2 linked regions of the Oryza sativa Japonica Group genome follow. Each later gene encodes a partner of the first gene's protein in a complex. Links are inferred from orthologs where the notes say so. Each region holds a gene or a part of one and is shown on either strand. Other genes may lie near its edges.

Region 1 (4,394 bases):
TTCTGTAGTTTGTGTAGCCATGGAGAAAGGAGCGTAATGTGCTTGAGACCGATGGTTGTGTGTGGTCGTGAAACAATCACAGCTTCTGTTCTGAAAGTCTGAACCCCAGTGATGTTTGTTTCATTGTTTGTCGTGTGCTTTTCTTTCTTTCTGACGAATGGTGAATAATTTTTCACTGATACAATGTTCGCGAATTCTTCAGATAGTCCCTTGACCACACTCGATTTTCTTCAGGCAAACAATCTCTTCTCACCCGGGCCGATCATTCAGAAACCAGGCTGTTACTAGCAGACATTGACCATCTGTTACCGTGCTGTCAAAGTAGTACTATTACCGGTGCGGTCTTTGTTCAATGCTGCACAATTCAGTTTGTATTTCACATTCTGAAAGTTTGAAACACAAAATATTCACAAGAATCAGGGAAACAGTTCACGTGTTTCAAACGGGGCCTTACATTTGGTCGATCTATACCCAATTGTCAAAATGGGTTTAGAAAAAAAATGATAATAACGTTCAGAAAACTGATATGTAGGGTATGATTGTAATGAAATTACGATTGCATCGTTGAATCTGAATATAGTGCATGTTTAAAGAAAAAATATGCCAAAAAGGTTGGTTGCGAAATACTCGGGGTTTCTTTGAAATACATTTTTTTTTTCAAATGGTTTCTGCATAGATCAGTGTAATTCCTGTATACGAAGGTCCTTCAAAATTTATTTTTGTCCCCAAGGAGGCTTTTCACTAAAATCGAACTGAAGTGAACAGAAGTGTAGACATTAGGATTCATGTTTTCGATAAAAACCAATTGAAAACCGCAAAAATTCGAGGTTTTGATAGTGTTATGACTGAAATTTAGAATGGTTCAAATCTGAAACAGTCAATTTGACCAAAATTAAACGAAAAGTTATAAAAAAATTGACAAAAACCGTTATATCCACATGGATCAGGATCCGGTGCTTAGGCGAAAACCATCTTACAAATTTTTCGAGGTTTCGACACGGAACGGAAACGTTATTCGTGTCAAAACCTCGAAAAATCATTACTACCTATTCTAAAATATTAGAATATAAAATTGGATGGGACGTTTTCAAGTATAATGTATCATAATAGACTCTATATTATAATAGAAAATATTACATACAGTTTTAGTTTCATTTAGGACAGAGGGAGTATTACGTACACTGTAGTAGTGAGCCGCTTTGATGAAGTGGCGAAGTGGAGTTGTGCACCGAGTCCACAGCAAAAGAGCGCGGAAAGGAGGAAGAAGATAAAGCATCCCCCACCTCCGCCTCTTCCCCTCCAACGACTACCTCTTCTTCCTCCTCTCGCACCACCACCACTCACCACCCCCCACCCCCCACCTCCACCCTCCTCCTCCTCCTCCGCCTCGGCGTTCGTGCATGAAACCCTAGACCCCCCCCCCCTCTAAACCCCCCTCCCTCCCGCACCCCCCGCGATGGCCAAGGCGCTCCTCTCCTCGTCGCTGCTCCCCTCGCTGCAGCCCCGCGCCGCCGCCGCGAGGCTGCCTATGCTGACGCTGCCTTCGCTGCGGAGGCACGGGGGCCGCCGCGCGTCGGCGTGCAGGGTGAGGGCGAGCCTCCACGGGCTCGACTCGATCGCGGGGCTCGACCTCCACGCCGCGCTGGAGCGCGCCGAGGCGGCGCTCTACACGCTCGCCGACGCCGCTGTCGTCGCGGCGGACGCGGCGGCGGGAGGAGGAGGGGGTGGCGGTGGTGGTGGCGGTGAAGCGGCGGCGTCGGTGGCGCAGAAGAACGGGGGGTGGTTCGGGTTCATCTCCGAGGCCTTGGAGGTCGTGCTTAAGGTAAGCGCCGCCGTCTTCTCCCAAACCTATAGGAATCCAAGTCACTTTAGGAGTTCAGGTTCAGGATTGCTAAGATTGGTTAATGGATATATCCCTGAGTTGCAAAAGTTGGTCTGGTGAATTGGTTGGGGAATTGGAGATTTGGAGTCATGTAAGTTCGTGGAGAGTGCAGGAGTAGATGTGCATGCACTTAATTATGACGCCTCCATGCTCTGAAACTTACTAAACATTGAGCAGACGGCAACCCGGCATGGTTATTTTTAAGTAACTTATATCTAGTTATGACCAGGCGTGCATTGTTTAGCATTTTCCTATCCACAGGTTTTGATATGAAATGTTACAATTCAAGAACTGTTAGGATTTTATTGCATAGCATTCATCGGCTCCGGAATGCTGATACTATGTGAGTATCACCATACAGGTGCTGAAGGATGGCCTGTCAGCTGTTCATGTGCCGTACTCTTATGGATTCGCCATCATTCTTCTCACTGTTATTGTGAAGGCTGCAACATTACCTTTAACGAAACAACAGGTAAATGATAAAATCTGGTCTATTTTTTAATTAATGAGTAACATGGATATGGTGGGTTGAGAGTTGTGCTGTTTTTCCTCTCTTTTTTTAGGTCGAATCAACTCTGGCTATGCAGAATTTACAGCCACAGATCAAAGCAATTCAACAGAGATATGCAGGAAATCAGGTTTGTTTTGTTTATCTTTTACGCACGCCATGGATATTAAAGTAGGAACACTGAGGTTTGTTTCTGGATATATGTTTTGCATATTTTAACGATAGAAGGTAGAACTATCTTCCCAAAAAATGTTCTTATTTCACTGTTGTGTTTTATATTTTCAAGCACATATCTTTGGGCATTTCTGATCTATCACTCCTACATAACTCTTATTAGGAAAGGATACAGCTTGAGACTGCTCGGTTATACAAGCAAGCTGGAGTCAACCCTCTGGCAGGTCGCTTACTTCTCCATTCTTTAGCCTATTAACTTTGATAGTTGAATTGTTCCATTGCATCTTTTTTGTATGAGTTTGTTATTTATTAGTTGATCATATTTTCTATTTCTCGACATAATGCATCTATTGCCATCATGTGCTTGCAAAACCAATTGTTGGCTTTTTAAAGTTTTAAGTGAGATTGCTTTTGTGATATAGTGTTTTGATATTATGGTTTCTCTTCCAGGATGTTTTCCAACTTTGGCAACAATACCTGTCTGGATTGGCCTCTACCAAGCCCTTTCAAATGTAGCAAACGAGGTAAAACTCAAATCCTGCTTCCTAATATTTGCTTCATTAAGAGGATTTTGTTCTAAGTGGCTTATATTTCTCTGAAGGGATTACTGACAGAAGGATTTTTCTGGATTCCATCTTTGGGAGGCCCTACAACAATTGCTGCTCGGCAAAGTGGTGCTGGCATTTCTTGGCTCTTGCCTTTTGTGGTAATAAAATTGATCACACGTTAACATATATCAACAATTTCATTGCTGATCTAGGAAAATCAGGTTTATAGTGCACTTGAGCGAATTTAACCTCATTTTCCCCCCTTATTTGACTTTGACATACCCGTCAAGTTAGATTAGTGTCACGTTTCTGCCCATAGTCATTTAAGCAATCAAGCAACAAGAAGCTTAGCTATTTGCACCTCGCATTTTGTTGCCTATTATTTAGAACTCTGGTTGAAATAAATGGCGTGGCATACCAATTTATAGTCCTGTAGAGACATGATAGTAAAACAGCATATTACTCATGTACTTGCATAATATTGAGATGGTAAATCATACTTACAACTTAAATGAATTGTGCAGGATGGCCATCCTCCATTAGGCTGGCATGACACGATATGTTATCTTGTGTTGCCTGTGCTACTTGTTGCTTCTCAGTTTGTCTCTATGGAAATCATGAAGCCACCCCAGGTGAGCAGACGAGCGGTGCTCTAAATTACTATATCATCTGTCATATTGCCACTATACAAGCTATGAGTGGCTGGCAATTTGATCCTTTTTTTCTGCAGACTGATGATCCATCGCAGAAGAACACACTGCTTGTTTTGAAATTTCTTCCATTTATGATAGGGTGGTTCTCTTTGTCAGTGCCGTCAGGGTTGTCCATTTATTGGTATGTGCATTTGCTATTAGTTGTATGAGTGTTTCAGTCATGTTCCATGCTATAGTGCTATGCCTCATAGAGATTGTGGGACTCCTCCACTGCTCATTAACTTCTTGCAATTGATCAAATCCAATATGTGTATTGACTCCATGTTTGCTATCAGGTTCACAAATAATATCCTCAGCACAGCCCAGCAAGTTTGGTTACGGAAACTGGGAGGAGCAAAGCCTGTTGTCAATCAGGGGGGTAGTGGGATAATTACTGCAGGACGAGCAAAACGTACGAGTGCTCAACCAGCCCAACCTGGTGAAAGGTGCTTTTGAACCTCACATGGCTTTTAACCCTATTATATTCTGGTTTTGATTTTTACAAAAATATCTTGAATAGATTTAAACAGCTGAAAGAAGAGGAGAGCAAGAGAAAAGGCAACAAAGCGCTTGCTGCAGGAGATTCAGAT
Region 2 (3,587 bases), on another chromosome or scaffold:
TGGAGTCCGGTCGTCGTGCAGGTGGTGTGAATATTGTAGGTACCTTTCGGTGTGCAAGTGGCATTTGGGAGCTTCCGTTGTGGATGCTTTGGTTGACAGGGTCTCCGAGGTGAAAACCTTGCTCTGCTCCGGTGCTAGCAACGGCGACGCCCTCGGGTGCCATTCACCTTCTTGAAGGCGTTGCTTTTAAAGCCCTTGTTTCAACTCCACTTCAAGGGAATTCTCCGAGTGAAAACCTTAGATTCGTTAGGATCGGACGTTGTCGCCGTCTTGTCGGCGTTACCTTCTTGAAGGCTTCGTTTTAGGAGTTTCTTCTCTTGTTGGACTACTCTTATTTGCGTTCAGTTTGTCAATGCCGGGTTTTCGCCGGTTTTTCTAAAATTAACCGTGCTGTTGTAAAGTTTTTGGGTCTGATTTTTCTTATATCAACTATCTTCTTCTATAGTGAAATTGTAGGAGCTCTCTGCATGTCCCTAAAAAAACTATTAAATTTGCTCTTAAGAAGAAAATGTGTGGATCTAACTACCCAATTAGAGAAAGAGGAGGGAGATTTTTAGACGAGGTCTACTCATTGCCTGGAGATGAAAAAGCAGGTCTACGAGGCAGTGCCAACAAACACCGTCAAGATCAAGATCAGCACATGTCGTTCCAACAATCCCCATTTATCTCACTCCTCTCAATCTCTTTTGCCGATGCTTGCTAAATTATTGCCATCACGTTGGTTGCCCTTTTTTTCGCTCAGTCCCCACGGCAAAACTCTAGCTCCCCCTGTGCCACACTGCCACATAACTTGCTTGACGGCCTCTGTGTCAAATCCGGCATGTTTGGTTTCTTGCCGGCATGCTGGTCAGCATCGGAAAACTTCCCCTTCAAGAGAGGGAGAGAGCTACAAATCGGATTAGGCGGATCCAGCTCGTCATGCGAACCAGCGCCTTCGCCGCCAGATCGATCTCCTTGACCGGAATCAAGTCCAGTCGATGCATGGATGGAGCTTCTTCTTTGTGTTTCTGGACGTGACCCACCATAGATTTTGCTCTGCCATGAATCAAGCACCGCCTAGCTGCACAAGCTTAACTTCTAGTTTTTGTTTATGTTGTCAATCGATTTTAAACTAAAACAGGGTGTTGTGATCTGGTCTAGCAAGAAACGGAGAGAGGAAATTTGGGTTAAGAAAGATGAGCTAGCATGCATAAAACCAAACGCACAACTGCCAATAAGGAGTACACTTTTGATTGTACATGTTAACATATTTATACAAATTTAATCATCTAATTATTAATATGTACTTACTTCCGTTTAAAAAAAAGATAACATAGTACTAGAATATCGAATTTAGATATAGAGGATGTGTCACATTCTAATTCAATTGTCATAATTTTTTTTTAAGTAGTTGGCTCTCGGTATAGCTGCAAATCTAAATGCTACAGTAGCTAGTTTCCGCGCGCGGCAACGGGGACCCGAACCCCGATCTCCGGTGGGAAATGGGCATCATCGACCGTTTGGCGGATGTGAATAGCACTACTCCATCTGTACCGTCCATGCCACAAAACGAGTGGCTCAGATCGCACACAATCCAAGAGACCCATCACCTTATCCTCTTCTCCCTCCCGAATCCAAACCCATCATCCTCTTCCCTCCACTCCACTGCCACTCGCGCCACAAGCTCCTCCCACTCCAATGGAGGCTGTCCTACGACACCCATCCCTTTCCCGCCTCAAACCCCCCAACCCCAATGCTCAGAGAACTCCAGCCCTCTCCATCACCGTCCCTTTCCGGCTTCGTCTCCCCAACCGGCGGCTCACCGCCGCGGCGGTGTTCCAGGACCAGACCAACCCAAGAAACCCAGCGAGCAAGGGAGGCGACGACGATGAGGCGTACGGCGAGGTGGACCGTATTGTGTCCAGCCGCACCATCAAGAATCCGGTGTTCGCGGAGGACGGCTCGGCCACCACGGTCACCGCCACGGAGTACCTCGTCGAGTGGAAGGACGGGCACGAGCCTTCGTGGATCCCGGCGGAGGCCATAGCGGCGGACGTGGTGGCGGAGTACGAGACGCCGTGGTGGACGGCCGCCAAGAAGGCGGACGCGGCGGAGATCACTGCGCTACTCGCGGACGAGACGCTGCGGCGTGACCCCGACGCGGAGGATGCGCAGGGGCGCACGGCGATGCACTTCGCCGCGGGGCTTGGATCCGAGGAGTGCGTGCGCGCGCTCGCCGAGGCCGGGGCCGACGTGGGGCGACCCGAGCGCGCCGGCGGCGGGCTCACGCCGCTGCACATCGCGGTCGGGTACGGGCGCCCGGCGGCCGTGCGCGCGCTGCTGGAGCTGGGCGCCGAGCCGGAGGCCCCCGACGGGCAGGGCCGGACGCCGCTGGAGCTGGTCCAGGACGTGCTCGCGAAGACGCCCAAGGGCAACCCGGCGACGTTCGAGCGGCGGCTGGCGCTGGAGGCGGCGGCGAAGGAGCTGGAGAAGGCCGTGTACGAGTGGGGCGAAGTGGAGAAGGTGGTGGACGGCCGCGGCGAGGGCAAGTGGCGGGAGTACTTGGTGGAGTGGCGCGACGGCGGCGACAGGGAGTGGGTGAGGGCGGCGTGGGTGGCGGAGGACCTGGTGAAGGACTTCGACGCCGGGCTGGAGTACGCCGTCGCGGAGGCCGTCGTCAACAAGAGGGAGGCGGCGGAAGGGGAGGGGAAATGGGAGTACCTTGTCAAGTGGGTGGACATCGAGGAGGCGACGTGGGAGCCCGCGGAGAACGTCGACGCCGAACTCCTCCAGGAGTTCGAGCAGCGGCAATCTGGGGTGGCTGCTGGCGGTGATGCTCCGCCGCCGCCGCCGGTCGCCGGGTGACAGCGTGTCGCCGTCGACGGAGGGTGTTCGATTCTTCCTGGTTTTGCTGTGTTTAACAGAACGGGATAAAATGTTTGTGCTGCTGCAAAATGTATCATTAGCGCTTTGATAATTTTTGAGTTGAGCAGAACTTTAACCTCAGATTGCAATTTGAGAATGTGAAGAGTTTCAGAAAATGGTGATGCATATGGATCCTTCATCAGTTAAGTATGATTAGGATGGCAAAATTCAGTACTCTCTCAAGATTAGAAGAAGAAATGCTTGCCTCGTATCAAGGCAGCCGATCCAATTGGAAGACATTCTGAAGCCAACGACTCTAGCTAGACTGCACAACAGGATGCATAAGATTCAGGCACAATATTGCAGTCTGACAGAGTGCCAATACCTTGCACGACCACATGAACATATCTAGCAGTCTGATGGCTCCAAATATCAGGATAATAGAAAGGAACAGCTCTTAGCATACATAAAAGTATATGTTTATTCCTTCAATGAATAAATAATAGATCAAATATCTTTATCAAAAAACACTCTTAGCATGTTACATTGTACTCTTCCGGTGTACAGATCTCACATTTGCTAAATTGCACCAATGATGCAGAAACAAAAGGAGATTTGACTCTAAAAGTAAATACTTTACAGGTGGCCTTGTGTTCATAAAGAACCAAAAGAAAGATGCCAGGTTGTTGGCTCCAATGTGGTAAGGTAATCATGAAATCAATCAGCAGCCTGCAAAATTAAGG

What was found.
Region 2: the proteins of inner membrane protein PPF-1, chloroplastic (region 1) and probable signal recognition particle 43 kDa protein, chloroplastic are in contact, whole or in part, in a crystal structure (PDB 5E4W), measured with the Arabidopsis thaliana proteins. The link is inferred for Oryza sativa Japonica Group from reciprocal best matches to the Arabidopsis thaliana genes ALB3 and CAO. Residues at the interface, in NP_180446.1 of Arabidopsis thaliana: Lys454, Arg455, Ser456, Lys457, Arg458, Lys459, Arg460, Thr461; in NP_566101.1 of Arabidopsis thaliana: Asp273, Glu274, Asp312, Tyr313, Gly316, Leu317, Glu318, Tyr319, Ala320, Val321, Ala322, Trp343, Asp345, Met346, Thr350, Glu352, Asn356, Asp358.

Annotation. Positions count from the first base shown.
Region 1 is NC_089035.1:2,776,814-2,781,207, forward strand, and holds the start of inner membrane protein PPF-1, chloroplastic, read left to right. Parts: upstream 1-1,280; 5' UTR 1,281-1,456; coding exon 1,457-1,822; intron 1,823-2,243; coding exon 2,244-2,354; intron 2,355-2,445; coding exon 2,446-2,520; intron 2,521-2,727; coding exon 2,728-2,788; intron 2,789-3,014; coding exon 3,015-3,088; intron 3,089-3,165; coding exon 3,166-3,270; intron 3,271-3,636; coding exon 3,637-3,744; intron 3,745-3,842; coding exon 3,843-3,946; intron 3,947-4,100; coding exon 4,101-4,250; intron 4,251-4,324; coding exon 4,325-4,394. UniProt on the Arabidopsis thaliana protein: Required for the insertion of some light harvesting chlorophyll-binding proteins (LHCP) into the chloroplast thylakoid membrane.
Region 2 is NC_089037.1:1,824,847-1,828,433, reverse strand, and holds probable signal recognition particle 43 kDa protein, chloroplastic, read left to right. Parts: upstream 1-1,600; 5' UTR 1,601-1,677; coding exon 1,678-2,844; 3' UTR 2,845-2,983; downstream 2,984-3,587. Other genes in the region: uncharacterized protein, read right to left, coding at 3,562-3,573.